Macaca fascicularis: one gene and its partner. The main gene of each other region encodes a partner of the protein of the gene in region 2 in a complex. Links are inferred from orthologs where the notes say so. Each region holds a gene or a part of one and is shown on either strand. Other genes may lie near its edges.

Region 1 (7,662 bases), on a different chromosome or scaffold from region 2:
GAGTCTGGAGAATTGCTTGAACCCAGTAGGCGGAGGTTGCAGTGAGCCGAGATCGCATCATTGCACTCCAGCCTGGGTGACAGGGCACGAATCTGTCTCAAAAAAAAAAAAAAGGTATTTTAGGGCCTAGGGTTATAACACAACAGTCAGGCTTCCCAAATAAAAGGCCCAGTAAGGAGAAGAGAATCAAAAACAAGTCATCACACCAAATTGCCTAAGACTGCTAGTGATTTCCATACTTGTCTTGCTCTGTGTCCCCAATCTATACACATCGATACCACCTGCATGGCCAGTGCCACAAACGGAAACCTCTGTTCTAAAATGCAACGGCCCTTAAGTTCCTCTCCTCACCATTCCCTGCCATGTCAACGTGTAACCCACGAAGAAATTAAATCACATAGAAATGTGGAAGACAACCAGGCACATGGCACATGCCTGTAATTCCAGCACTTTGGGAGGCCAAGGTGGCAGGACTGCTTGAGCCCAAGAGTTTGAGACCAGCCTGGGCAACACAGTGAGACTCTGCCTCTCCAAATAATTAAAAAATTAGCTGGGCGTGGTGGCATGTAGCCCCACCTATTCAGGAGGCTGAATGAGCTATGACTGTGCCATTACACTCCAGCCTGGACAACACAGTGAGACCCCCATCTCAAAAAAATAAATGTGGAAGACACTTTTGGGAAGAGAATACAATTGACCCCATCTTTCTAAAGGATAACGAGATAATAGGTATCAATATTTTAAATGTACTTTTTTTTTTTTTTTTTGAGATGGAGTCTCAGTCTGTCGCCCAGGCTGGAGTGCAGTGGCCTGATCTCAGCTCACTACAACGTCCGCCTTCTGGGTTCAAGCAATTCTCCTGCATCAGCCTCCCGAACAGCTGGGATTACAGGCACACAACACCACGCCTGGCTGATTTTTGTATTTTTAGTAGAGATGGGGGTTTCACCATATTGGACAAGCTGGTCTCAAACTCCTGACCTCAGGCATCTGCCCGCCTTGACTTCCCAAAGTGCTGGGATTACAGGTGTGGGCCACTGCATCTGGCCTAAATGTACATATCATTTAAAGGACTGTACAGATAAGTACAGGGCCAGGCATGCTGGCTCATGCCTGTAACCCCAGCACTTCGGAAAGCTGAAGCAAGAGGATTGCTTGAACTCAAGAGTTTGAAACCAGCCTGAGTAACAAAGCGAGACACTGTCTCTAATTTTTAAATAAATAAATATTATTTTAAGAAAGAAAATAGGACTAGGTGCAGTGGCTCACACCTGTAATCCCATCACTTTGGGAGGCCAAGGCGGGTGGATCACAAGGTCAAGAGTTCAAGACCAGCCTAGCCTAGATGGTGAAACCCCTTCTCCACTAAAAATACAAGAATTAGCTAGGCATAGTGGTGGACGCCTGTAATCACAGCTACTCGGGAGGCTGAGGCAGAGAATTGCTTCAGCCCAGGAAGCGGAGGCTGCAGTGAGCCGAGATCGCGCCACTGCACTCCAGCGTAGGTGACAGAGACTCCATCTCAAAAAAAAAAAAAAAAAAGCCAGGCGCAGTGGCTCACGCCTGTAATCCCAGCACTTTGGGAGGCCGAGGCAGGCGGATCACAAGGTCAGGAGATCGAGACCATCCTGGCTAACACGGTGAAACCCCGTCTCTACTAAAAATACAAAAATTAGCCAGGTGTGGTGGCAGGCGCCTATAGTTCCAGCTGCTGGGGAGGCTGAGGCAGGAGAATGGCATGAACCCGGGAGGCAGAGCTTACAGTGAGCAGAGATCACACCACTGCATTCCAGCCTGGGCGACAGAGCGAGACTATCTCAAAAAAAAAAAAAGAAAAAAGAAAAAGAAAAAAGCTGGACATAATCATATTTCTGTTCTGTATCACTTACTAGTTTTGTAGACTTGAACAAGTGGTATAGCTGATCTAAGCCTCAGTTTCCTCATATGTATAACAGCAATAGTACATATTACTAAGGAGTGTTTGAGAAATCAATCAATAAATGTATTCAGAATAGTGCTTAGTCAATAGGTCTTCAGATATTATTTTTCTTTCCTTAAGCACCTATCATACAACTGGCCTATACTAGGTATTAGATACACAGTAGCATATCTAATACGTAGGTTTCACCATGTTGGCCAGGCTGGTCTCAATCTCTTGACCTTGTGATCCACCCACCTCAGCCTCCCAAAGTGCTGGGATTACAGGCATGAGCCACCATGCCCAGCCTATGGCCTGTTCTGTTTTTTTGTTTATTTTTTTGAGATGGAGTCTCGCTCTGGTCGCCCAGGCTGGAGTGCAGTGGTGCCATCTTGGCTCACTGCAAGCTCCACCTCCTGGGTTCATGCCATTCTCCTGCCTCAGCCTCCCAAGTAGCTGGAACTACAGGCGCCCGCCACCACACCAGGCTAATTTTTTGTATTTTTAGTAGAGACGGGGTTTCACCATGTTAGGCAGGATGGTCTCAATCTCCTGACCTCGTGATCCGCCCATCTCGGCCTCCGAAAGTGCTGGGATTACAGGCGTGAGCCACTGCGCCTGGCCTGGCCTGTTCTTTTTTGAGACAGTCTTCCTCTGTCACCCAGGCTGGAGTAAAGTGGTACAATCATGGCTCACTGCAGCCTCGACCTCCTGGGTTCAAGTGATCCTCCCACCTCAGTCTCCCGAATAGCTGGGACTACAGGCATGTAAACCACATCTGGCTAATCTTTTATAGAAATGGTTCTATGTTGCCCAGGCTAGTCTCGACATCCTGGACTCAAGTGATCCTCCTGCCTCAGCCTCCCAAAGTGCTGAGATTACAGGTGTGAGCCACCATGGCCAGCCTAGTACTTACTCTTTATTTATTTTTTTTGAGACAGAGTCTCACTCTGTCACCCAGGCTGGAGTGCAGTGGCGTAATCTCAGCTCACTGCAACCTCTGCCACCCAGGTTCAAGCGATTTTCCTGCCTCAGCCTCCCAAGTAGCTGGGATTACAGGCACCTGCCACCATGCCTGGCTAATTTTTGTATTTTTAGTAGAGACGGGGTTTCACCATCTTGGCCAGACTGGTCTTGAACTCCTGACCTCGTGATTCACCCACCTCGGCCTCCCAAAGTGCTGGGATTACAGGCATGAGCCACACGTCCAGCCCATGAGCCACCACACCTGACCAGTATTTACTCTTTAAACTGTATATTGCTTTGTATTGTTTTCCAATACACAATACAATCCCCAAGCTTATCTGTAAATTTAAGGCACAAGGCATTTATTTATTGTTAAATTTTAAAATTTGTCTTAGAGATGGGGTCTTGCTCTATTGCCCTGGCTAGAGTGCAATGGAGTAATCACTGCTCACTGCAGCCTCAAACTCCTGGGCTCAAGCAATCCTCCCTCCTCAGTCTCCCAAAGTGCTGGGATTACAGGCGTGAGCCACTGCACCCCACCCATTTATTTCTTTTGTTTGTTTGAGACAGAGCCTCGCTCTGTCACCCAGGCTGGAGTGCAGTGGCGTGATCTGGGCTCACTGCAAGCTCTGCCTCCCAGGTTCACGCCATTCTCCTGCCTCAGCCTCCAAAGTAGCTGGGACTACAGGCGCCTGCCACCATGCCTGGCTAATTTTTTGTATTTTTAGTAGAGACAGGGTTTCACCGTGTTAGCCAGGATGGTCTTGATCTCCTGACCTCGTGATCCGCCCACCTCAGCCTCCCAAAGTGCTGAGATTACAGGCGTGAGCCACCGCACCCGGCCATTTATTTCTTCTGTACATATTCCACCTCACCCAGCCCTCAAATATTTCTCAAATTAAAGAGGTTCCAGGGCCCTGGGCACACCCACCCCCAACAGACTTGTTGGAACAGGTACCTACCTCAGGTCATTCTTGAGTTCCACGACCACATCCTTGCCCACAAGGGACTTGAAAAAAGAATAGAAGAGCTATTGGGAGAGAGGGGGAAAACCATCATGTGGGAAGGAACATGGTAGGGAGGAGTGTCCCTTGACAGTATTACCAAATACCGGTATTGTGAACCCCATTGCATCCCTAACAGTTCTCAAAATTTCACAGGAAAGAATAATTGGTTGAGAGGTGAAAGGCTGGAGCCCAAATTATTCTGCACACTGCATTGAGCCCATCACTTAAAGTCCCAGAGAGGCTCTGCCCTGCATACCTCGGCCTCCCCAGTGTGCTCTCTCAATCGACCACCTTTCTCGGGTACCTGCCCACTCCTTTCAATGAATTACAGAAAACATCCCACCCGCACCCTGCCGAAGCTTGCCTGGCAGAGAAGTGCTCTAAGGTCTAACTTTTCCGTCTCCCGCTGTCCCCACTGAATCTCTCTCAGGGTTGGGGTTTTTTTCCTCATCATGGAAAAAAAAATCCCATTTGCTCTCAGGTGTCTCCTCAACGAACTTGAGGAACAGGACTAACGATGAAGATAAAAACTCCGGACCTAACTCCAGCCTAGGGGGACAAAGGCCAGACCCCCCTGCCCCAACCGTCCGAGATCCCCGAGGGCGACCCCTTTTGACGTCACGGTACCCACCATGGTGCTGGCGCAGCGGGCAGCGGGCCGGAGCGAGAAAAGAGCCGGATGCTGAGACCAGGTCTGGGAGAACCGAAGCGCGAGCCCGCGCGTGGGGCGAGGCGGGACCGCGCAGGCGCAGCGGGAAGGGACGCAGAACCCTCCAAGCGCTGAAGGGTAAAGCGCGGCCGACTTGCGGCTGGGGAGCGCAAGCTGGGTAAAACCGAGGGGAGGAGGAAGCCGGGAAAGGGGCGGGGTTTCCTTCGTTCCGACTTCTTCCAGGGCCGGCCGGCTCCCATTGCGCAGGCGCGGACCCTAGCCTGGGCTGCTAGGCGGGTGGAGGCACTCGGCGTCTGAGCTCAAAAGGTTTTGTTTTCCATAACCCTGCCGTCCACAGCGTGATGTGTTCGTGCCCTCTACACACATCCTATCGAGAATTGTGGGGAGTTTGTGAAGATTATGAAGTGTGCACTTTTCTATATTTGTTAAAGTAAAAACATAAAATTCAAAAAATAAAATTAAAAAATGTTTTTAATCTTAAATTCAGCTGATAAAAAAAAAAAAGGCCGAGGGCGGTGGCTCACGCCTTCAATCCCAGCACTCTGAGAGGCCAAGGTGGATGGATTGTGTGAGGTCAGGAGTTCGAGACCAGGCTAGCCAACATGGTGAAGTCCCGTCTTCACTAAAAATACAAAAAAAATTAGCCAGGCGTGGTCGCGGGCGCCTGTAATCCCAGCTACTCGGGAGGCTGAGGAAGGAGAATTGCGTGAACCCGGGAGGTGGAGGTTGCAGGGAGCCAAGATGATGCCACTGCACTGCAGCCTGGGCGACAGAGCGAGACTCGTCTCAAAAAAAAAAAAAAAATTGGCCGGGCGCGGTGGCTCACGCCTGTAATCCCAGCACTTTGGGAGGCCGAGACGGGCGGATCACGAGGTCAGGAGATCGAGACCATCCTGGCTAACACGGTGAAACCCCGTCTCTACTAAAAAATACAAAAAAATAGCCGGGCGAGGTGGCGGGTGCCTGTAGTCCCAGCTACTCGGGAGGCTGAGGCAGGAGAATGGCGTGAACCCGGGAGGCGGAGCTTGCAGTGAGCTGAGATCCCGCCACCGCACTCCAGCCTGGGTGACAGAGAGAGACTCCGTCTTTAAAAAAAAAAAAAAAAAAAAAAATTGACCGGGCGCAGTGGCTGACGCCTATAATCCCGCACTTTGGGAGGCCAAGGCAAATGGATCACCTGAGGTCAGGAGTTCTAGACCAGCCTGGCCAACATGGCGAAATCCTGTCTCTACTAAAAACCCAAAAATTAGCCAGGTGTGGTGGCACGCGCCTGTAAACCCGGGAGGTATAAGTTGCAGTGAGTGGAGATCGTGCCATTGTACTCCAGCCTGGGCAACAACAGTGAAACTCTTGTCTCAAAACAACAACAACAACAAAATGTTGAGGCTTGTAAATCCCAGCATTTTGGGAGGCTGAGGCAGGAGGATCATTTGAACCCAAGAGTTACAGTGAGCTACGATCTCCCCACTGCATTCCAGCCTGGGCAAGACTCTGTCTATAAAAAAGAAAATTATAAAAAACAAAAAAATGTTGAGGAGTCCCAGAGATAAGGAGCTGGAGCACAAATTTTGGTTTTATCAAAGGTTACCAATAAATATATTTCTCCAAAGGAGCCAACCTCAATCTCCATATTTCTTACACACTTTTGCCAAGACTGTCCTGTAAAGGACTGAGTAAAAAGAGACTGTGGCTTACAGATGCAAATAACCCAGTCTAACATTTCACTGCCAAATGTTTCAAACACAGACAGAAATGCACAGTTACATATCATTCTAACTCATGTCCCCCAGGTTTTTATAAATGTATATTAGGACACAGGTAAAAGAAAACAAATTTTTTTGAGATGCAGTCTTGCTCTGTCATCAGGCTGGAGTGCGGTGCCACGATCTCAGCTCACTGCAACCTCCACAACCCAGGTTCAAGCAATTCCTCTGCCTCACCCTCCCGAGTAGCTGGGACTACAGGCGTGCACCACCATGCTCAGCTAATTTTTGTATTTTTAGTAGTGACGAGGTTTCACCATGTTGGGCAGGATGGTCTCGATCTCTTGACCTCATGATCCACCCACCTCGGCCTCCCAAAGTGCTGGGATAACAGGTGTGAGCCACTGCACCCGGCCGGTAAAAATATTTTTTCATGGACTAAGACTTCATAAACTTATATTTGTCATCTTGCATAGAAGTACTTATTTGTCAAGAGTTTGTTATAGAAATATTTTCTGGGGCTAGGCATGGTGGCTCACGCCTATAATCCCAGCACTTTAGGAGGCTGAGGTGGGTGTATCACCTAGGTCAGGAGTTCAGAACAGCCTCGTCAACATGGTGAAACCCCATCTCTACTAAAAACACAAACATTAGCTGAGTGTAGTGGTGAGCGCCTGTAATCCCAGCTACTCAGGAGGCTGAGGCAGAAGAATTGCTTGAATCCGGGAAGCGAAGGTTGCAGTGAGCCAAGGTCATGCCATTGCACTCCAGCCTGGGCGACAAGAGTGAAACTCTGTCTCCAAAAAAAAAAAAAAGAAAGAAAGAAAAGAAATATTTTCTCCATATAATGAATGTAAACAATGAACTCTGTGAGTGCACAGATGCTGAACCTCCTGGACCTTACCTATACATCAGGACATCAAGCAGGATTTGTCCCTCCACCCCAAGCTGAGTCCTAAACACCAAAACCAGCCTGTAACTGATTAAAAGCAGTTATAGTTTACAATCTGTTCCATCTGTGCTAAAGGTATCTGAGGATCAAAAATTATGTGCTGATTGAAACAATGAGTTCATGGGCCGGGCGCGGTGGCTCACACCTGTAATCCCAGCACTTTGGGAGGCTGAGGTGGGCAGATTCTGAGGTCAGGAGATTGAGACCATCCTGGCTAACATGGTGAAACCCCATCTCTACTAAAACAATACAAAAAATTAGCCGGGCATGGTGGTGGACGCCTGCAGTCCCAGCTACTTGGGAGGCTGAGGCAGGAGAATGGCGTGAACCCGGGAAGCAGAGCTTGCAGTGAGCCGAGATTGTGCCACTGTACTCCAGCCTGGGCGACAGGGCAAGACTTCATCTCAAAAAAAAAAAAAAGAAAAGAAAAGAAAAAAAAACCCAAT
Region 2 (7,591 bases):
AAACTGTTATATCTGTCTGTCCCAAGTAAACTGAGGCCACAGGGACATCGTAAGTGTGTCAATGATACTAAAAAATTAAAAGAAAATGAATAACAAGTAAGTACTTATTTACAAATACATCTATGTTATTGAGCATGAATTAGTATTGTTCAAATGAGAGATTTCAAAACCATTTTTCAAACTTTGGCCTTGGACTCTAGAAATATGTTCCTCTAAAATTCTGGGTATTTCTAAGAACACATGAAGAAGCCTCTCTAATGAAGTATTTAATATAAGGCAGGGCCCTTTCTGGACTCTACCCAGGCTACTTAACTAGTAGAAAAATGGAAAATCTCAGGTAAGTTTAATTTGTAGAGAGAAAGCTTTGGTTGAAACATAAAGTGTTGACATAAAATGTATAGCTATGCCTTACTTTATGCAAATATAAGAAACGCTGTATTTACAAAAGAAATGAATGCAAGATTCTATTAATTACATATGGACAATACAATAGGGTATTTTGGGTAAAACCTCTTCTCCATAAAGTAAGGCAGTATCATTTATAATTTTAACAGATATATTTTACTTACACGTTGTCACCTCTTACAATGTACAATCCTAGTACCACTTGCTCTACCCCCTGTGAAGAGCTGAATACTCGCTCATGGCTTTCATCCAAAATCAAATTAATGGTCTGGTCAAAACCTTTCAGTGTTCCCTGTAAAGAAAATATTCAGGAGAAAAAGAGAAATATTCTGGTTTACCTGAAAGTGTAAATTCAGCCTCACAATCATTTCAGTTGCCAAGTATTCCAATACAAGTAACAATACAATGTCAAATAAAATACCTTTTTTATAACCAACAGTATTCGAGGGTACACAATTTACCTCTTGGTTGTTTGGCTGGGGTGGGGGTCCTGCACCACACATCTCACTCATATGCAGAGTTGACGGCAGTTAGAAACGACAACTATGTACTAATTTGAGTATCTCCAAAAAGTAACTAGCATAAAAGCTTACGAAGACCAGCAGCTAAAGGTATAAACTAAAACAAAGGAGATTTAAGGGAAACTGATGGGCAAATATACATAAATAAGGAAGAACCATACATACCAACTACAGCAATGTAATGTATCACTATATGCTACATACCAGCACTAAGCAGTGTGCTAAACACATCGTACACATTGTCTCAACTCATCTCTACCCTTTAATACTATAATTAGCCCCATTTCAAAGAAGAAACTGAGGCACAGAGTGGTGTGTCTTATGGGCACATGGGTAGTAAGTGGCAGAGCCAGGAGATGAACCACAAAAGGCTAGCTCCTGAGTCAGACCACTAAACCGTAACATTCTATACTATCATACACAAGTAAATATAATTTGCCATTTTTCAGAGATTCAAATCAGTCCCATAAATATTTTAAAAATTTAGTAGTTACATATAACACCTAACGAGTACTTTAGTTACCGGTGCTCCGTCTGTCTCACATGTATTGTTTAATGTGTATCAAATGGATGTATTATTGAACTCTCCCAGTAAGGTAGATACAAATGTGACTATACTAATTAGAACCAGAACTTGAAGGAAATAATCAGGGAGAGTTTTATGAAAGTTTAGAATTGAATAAAAGAAGGCATGGGTCTAGCATAACAGAGTAACTCAGATGGTATTCAAGTTTCTGAAGAATTATCAACTAACATTGGTTTTGATGGTTAAATCTCTCAAGCTCTTAAACTGTTTTATCCTCTGAAAGTCAAAATATATAAAATGAGAATTAAATAAAAAGAAATCTATAACTTGGAAGAGAAACAAAATATGGAGTATTTATTGAACTAGTTAGCAAATGGTTATTATTATAAACACCCATTCATAACTTATTGGCTTCATTTTGCCCATTAACTATCCCATCAAATAAATTATGTGTCAAAGAAATACAGAACTATTGAACTTTAGAACTTAAGATGCTCTTTTTATATCGCTTTCCTTCTTCTTTAAAATTAAAAATAATTTCCCAGTTTATTATCCTGTTAACAAAAATAAGAAAATTTAAACGTAAGGTTTTCACTAAATAAAAAATAATGCAAACATCTATTAATAGCAATAGGCTTCTTGAAGTGTTGAGGTTAAAATATGTCAAACTGTCCACATTTGAAAAAATACAATGTGAGGTGCCTAAGAAAACATGATTGCTTCCTTAAGAAAGAAGCCAGGCAACTGGCCTTGGCTTTGATGTCAAACCAAATTTAAATCCCAGTTTGGTTCTGTCACCTGCTACCCTTGTGACTCTGAGAAAGTGAGTCACCTTCTCTGAACTTGTTTCCTAATCTAGAATACAGGGGTACTTATTCTTCACAAGGTTGTATGTACATTAATTAATGTAACACATATGCACCTGGCACACGATATAAATTTAGTAAATGGCAAAGCTAGAACTTTGACTAACAATAGTCACTAAGAACAAACGAAAGCAAAACTGCAGAATGGAAAAATAAGGGATCAAATTATTTAAAGAAACTAGGTAGGGTTAGAAAAGTTTAGTAGCCTTAAAATTCTTTTGAAAGCATTTGGAGTAGGAATTATAAGTGAAGAAATAATCAAGTGCCCAAAAATCTTGAGATGAATTCCTCAGATCAAATTCCAAATACAAGTATCACCATAGGAACGTTTTATCTTTGTTATATGACATAAATTAGCAAGGGAGAAACAACTTCAAGGAACAAGCCAATTTTACGTAAATATGTGTATATAGAGAGAGTCAATCATCATAATGTGTCCTACAGAAGACATGTCACACAACCTAAAAACAAAGAATGTTAAGATTGTATACAAGCCTTAAATGTTGATATGTAGATATTAATAGTATCTAAATCATTAAAAAGTTACTAAGCATATGCAAAATTTCAAAAAATTCTGATTCATGTGGTGCCGAATGAGGAAGGAAATAAAAATGGAAGAAGAAAAGTAAGTTTAATGAAGGTCTGCAGACTAGGAGCTCTCTGAGGGCAGAATCTATAACTCTAGCTCCTAGAAGCCTTGTAGGTAACACGCCACGTTTATGAGTGAGGAAAACGTGGATTGACAGCAAAGTGATAAAGAGCTGAATTATAATAAAACTGCACTACAGGTGTAATGTGCTGTCTAGGCATTAGAGATCAGAGGTTTCACATAAAACTTGCAACCAATAAACCTACAGGAAAGCAGAGAATGAAAATTCCGAAGACTTACCACAATCATCCTCCCATCAGATGTAATAACGGCAACAGTTCCTGATAACTGAATAAAGGAAAGTGTTTCTTAGGGAATGCAAATTGAAAACAGACTCTGGCAAGGTAATGATTTAAATTATTAGAACAAATATGACAATTAGGTAAAAGTGTTCAACACAGCCACTAAGTTCACTACATAAAAACGTTGAAAGATTTTGGGACGCCAAGGCAGGAGGATCACTTGAGGTGAGACTAGCTTGGGAAACACAGTGAGACCCCCCCCATCTCTACTACCCTGGCCTGGTGACCTATAGTCCCAGCTACTCAGGAGACAGAGGCAGAGGCAGGAGGATAGCTTGAGCTCAGGAGTTCAAGGTTGCATTGAGCCATGATCAAGCCACTGCACTCCAGCCTGGGCAACACAGTGAGACCCTCGACTCAAAAAAAGAAAGAAAAAAAATTTTTTAAAAGCTTGTTTTAGTTTTGTGATAATTACATGACTAAAAAAAGGAAAAAATAGAAAAGAAAACCTCTTTCTGTATGTGATCGGTGTATCCTATCTCAAAATATCCTGGATTTTTGACACTTTTCTACTAGGAATGCTGCCAATCTATTATTTCGGACAGGATATTTCGTTTCTTGGGCCTGTTTATATCTAAAATGAAAACTGGATGAGTACTAAATTCATCGATGTTGGACGATTTTCAAGCATGTTAAAAAACTGTCTTCCGGGGCAGGCTTCTGTAATTCAAAAGTAAATAAACTATATAATCAGTGTCACAAGGTACTAACAATGCCTGTAACATTAAAAGCATTCGGTATTTAATTTTTGTCACCCAGTTTGTACCTGAACTTAACATAGTGTTTTTGTTCTGAGACTTTAAAACGGTAACACTTGTAAAGTCTATTTTAAGACTTCCCGTGGGGTTGTTACTTGCTCCTCACTATAATCCATTACAACAGCAAGCATTTTTTTCATTCCACCACCAGGTAGGGTCTTCAAGTGGTAAAGGGACAGAAACAGTCTGTGAACCATCGTTAAACTTTCTGCTATCCTCGAACTAATGAGCATATTATGTGAATAAAACAAGTACACAGATTTGCAAAACTGTTGTCGCAGCCAGGACGACTGTTAATCTTATTTACAAACTTGAACACTTATGCCCTAGGGAAATAGTAAGGAAGAATCAAGAGCGTAATTTTTTTTAAGACAGAAAAGTTCGGAAAAATCACACTGGGTTTTTATTTGGCTTTTGTAGACAAAATGGAAAGGACCCCTGGGCCCGCAGCAGCTGGCAGGCTCTAGGCGCCGCCGCCGAACTCTGGGTCATTCCGGGGTCCTCATCTCGCCCGCCCCCAGGATCCCGCCGCGGCCGGGCCTCCCAACTTCCCACCGATCCCCGAGCGGCGGTCTCTCCGCGGCCCCGGCTCACGCCCGCGGCGGCCAGCTTGAGGATACGGTTGATGTAGTTCTCCAAGGCGGACGTCATGCTGCTCGGACCGGCAGTTCCGGATAACGCAGTGGTGCCGGCCACAAGCAGAACTGAAAGGGCGCGCCAGAACTCGGCAGCGGTTCGCGTCTGCGGGCCGCCGCAAATATCGTGAGAGTTGCTGCTCCGCAGCCCTTTGACTCGGAAATTGGGACGAACTAGCCAACCAAACAGAAGCAGCGCCGCTCTGACGAGAGAGTGCGCGTGCGCAGTGTGTTTTCGCTGTAATTCTGGGCCGTGTTCCGGAAGCCGTGTAAGACAAAGGGAACGAGAGGCGGAAAAAAGGAGGACGCTTCCCGAAGGTGGGGTACGAGAGAGAAGTTGGGGGAGAGTGGGTTTCCAATCCGAGTAAAACCCAGTGTGGTGGAAGATAATAAGTGAAAATGTTGAGGTAGAGCAGGCAGGAAGAAACAGGATAAGGCGTTTTTTATTAGGAGTGAAGGAGGAGAGTAGACGAGCGCTGTTGTGTGAAATGCGGGTGCGGGTAGTTGAATCCCTAGTTTTCTGCAGCAGGAGCCGAAAATAACACTAAAAATAAGTCCAGTTGGCCGGGACAAAGTTGCGCACGTTATAACCACACGGTGTAAGCGTCTTAAGAACTCAACAATGAAATGCACGTTCGTATGTTCTGCTTTTGTCTCTAAAAGTGGTCCAAAATGGAGGTGTTTTTACTTTTTAAAGAAACTAAATGCAAATAGAAAAAGGTGTGTGACCATCCCTTAGAAAACGAATGTTCACGCTTCTACCACGCCGGGATGGTCTGCCGGAATTCTCCAGGGTGAAATTAATAAATAAAAGGCTCCTTCAGCACCAAGAAAGGACTGATGCAGGAAGGCACCAAACTTGGTTCTAATCTTGGCTCTGCTAACGTATTGGTGTCATTGCACAGGTCACTTCAATTCTTCTGGGCCTCAGTTTCCTTATAGTGCCATAGGTATCATTTCAGATATTTCCCAATGTGATACTGTTCCCACTTTATTTACTGTGTTGCCCTAACTTGAGAGAGCTTGAAGTTAGAAAGAGATTTATACACAAAACATCAGCAGGAGCGATTTCCCTTTTTTACAAAATATCTTTATGATTTAGGTTAAACATGTATTTTCTTAAGAATTGTGGCTTTGGAATAACTCTTGCAATGTCAGCAGTTTTCCTGGGAAAAGGAAGCATTTCTTAATTAGAGCATACCCACAAGATACCTACAAGATGACTCCCAAATAGTTAAAATTTTATATTCTGGAAGTTATTCCGATCTGTTTGAAATCAAATGTAGTCAGGAATTAGATTGTGAATGTCTCATATTCTCAGGGTAACAAATGAAAGTGTCTTCCACAAATGAAAGAACAAAGATAATTGTGTGATTTGCAAATGTTAGGAGTTGAATCAAAACCCAAAGACTAATTAATGATTAACGAGGTGTTAAGAGTTTTGTTTAAAACAAAAAAATTGCTGGGAGTGTTGGTGTATGCCTGTAATCCCAGCTACTCTGGAAGCTGAGGCAGGAGAATCGCTTGAACCCGGGAGGCGGTGGTTACAGTGAGCTGAGATCACGCCATTGCACTCCAGCCTGGGCGACAAGAGCGAAACTCCATCTCAAAAACATAAAAACTAACCTCTGTGTGATCTTATAAAAATAAAGCTGGGTACAGTGACTCACACCTGTAATCCCAGCACTTTGGGAGGCCGAGGCGGGCGGATCACTTGGTCAAGAGATCAACACCATCTTGGCCAACATGGTGAAACCCCGTCTCTACTAAAATACAAAAATAAGCCGGCGTGGTGGCGGGTGCCTGTAGTCGCAGCTACTAGGGAGGCTGAGGCAGGAGAACCACTAGAACCTGGGAGGCGAAGGTTGCGGTGAGCGGAGATCGTGCCACTGCCCTCCAGCCTGGGCGACAGAGCGATGCTCCATCTCAATAAAATAAAAAATAAAAGTAAAAAAATAAATACTCCCAACAGCTTTTCATCACTTAGAGTGTGCTTTTGTTTTGAAAATGTTTAACATTATATGGTAGCTTACGAAACTACTTTCATCATAAATACATTGTAAGTCTATGGCCTTGTGTAGTTATTAAAGTAATATGCCAGATAAATAACAGATGTACAGTATTTATGGAGCATCACAAAATCTCTTTGGCTGGAAACTTTTTTGCATGTGTCTTAAAACTGCTATGTTTTCTGTAGTCTGTAAGGATCACAGATGTAACGAGAAAGCCTCTGGATAGATAAAAGTCCAGTTATTAAGACAAAAAATGAATTACATCTGGATGCAAACATTACATGTATGATTTATCTGTATTAGCCATGTACCCTTGAGAGTATGTGAATGTAGAGAGCTTAGCATCTCATAAAGGAGAATTACGTTAAAGCTCCAACAAGGGAAAACTGATACATATAAACATCTGACTACTAAAAAATTAAGAGTTAAGGGTGAAACTTGCCCCTTAAGTCCAAATCTCTCAAAGTAATGCGTATTTAAATGACATATCACTGATAAAGTATCAACCAAAGTATGCTTGTAATAGATAATTTTATTCCATTACTTCTGAATCTAACTCTTGAGCAGAAAACATTAACCTAAAGGATCAGACTTCTGGTAGAATCTGAGGAAACTGAATTTGCCCTTCTCTGAATAGTTTATGGAAAACTATACAATTTTTTAAATAAAATTTTTAAAATAAAATAATATTTTTAACCTTATGTGATGGGAACTTTTATTTCCTTTTCTGTGTTTATGCTTTACTTCCCTGCAAGTTGCAAGGGTGTTAACCAAACAGTAATATATATTGAATAGATCTAACCAGAGTTCTCCTAGGCAGAAAAGGACATAAGTAGATCGTGCGTCTCTACTTACAAGGAAATTCCTGAATAGTTACAGACCTTTAAGTATAAAAGTGAAATAATTATTGCATTAAA

The links. The genes of interacting proteins can lie anywhere in the genome.
Region 1: LSM8 (region 2) and LSM2 share a complex: the UniProt entries of both Homo sapiens proteins name them as parts of the precatalytic spliceosome. The link is inferred for Macaca fascicularis from reciprocal best matches to the Homo sapiens genes LSM8 and LSM2.

What each region holds. Positions count from the first base shown.
Region 1 is NC_088378.1:139,904,429-139,912,090, reverse strand, and holds the start of LSM2 (U6 snRNA-associated Sm-like protein LSm2), read right to left. Parts: upstream 4,509-7,662; 5' UTR 4,346-4,508; coding exon 4,256-4,345; intron 3,915-4,255; coding exon 3,847-3,914; intron 1-3,846. UniProt on the Homo sapiens protein: Plays a role in pre-mRNA splicing as component of the U4/U6-U5 tri-snRNP complex that is involved in spliceosome assembly, and as component of the precatalytic spliceosome (spliceosome B complex).
Region 2 is NC_088377.1:159,619,313-159,626,903, reverse strand, and holds the start of LSM8 (LSM8 homolog, U6 small nuclear RNA associated), read right to left. Parts: upstream 4,790-7,591; 5' UTR 4,679-4,789; coding exon 4,648-4,678; intron 3,249-4,647; coding exon 3,208-3,248; intron 698-3,207; coding exon 570-697; intron 1-569. UniProt on the Homo sapiens protein: Plays a role in pre-mRNA splicing as component of the U4/U6-U5 tri-snRNP complex that is involved in spliceosome assembly, and as component of the precatalytic spliceosome (spliceosome B complex).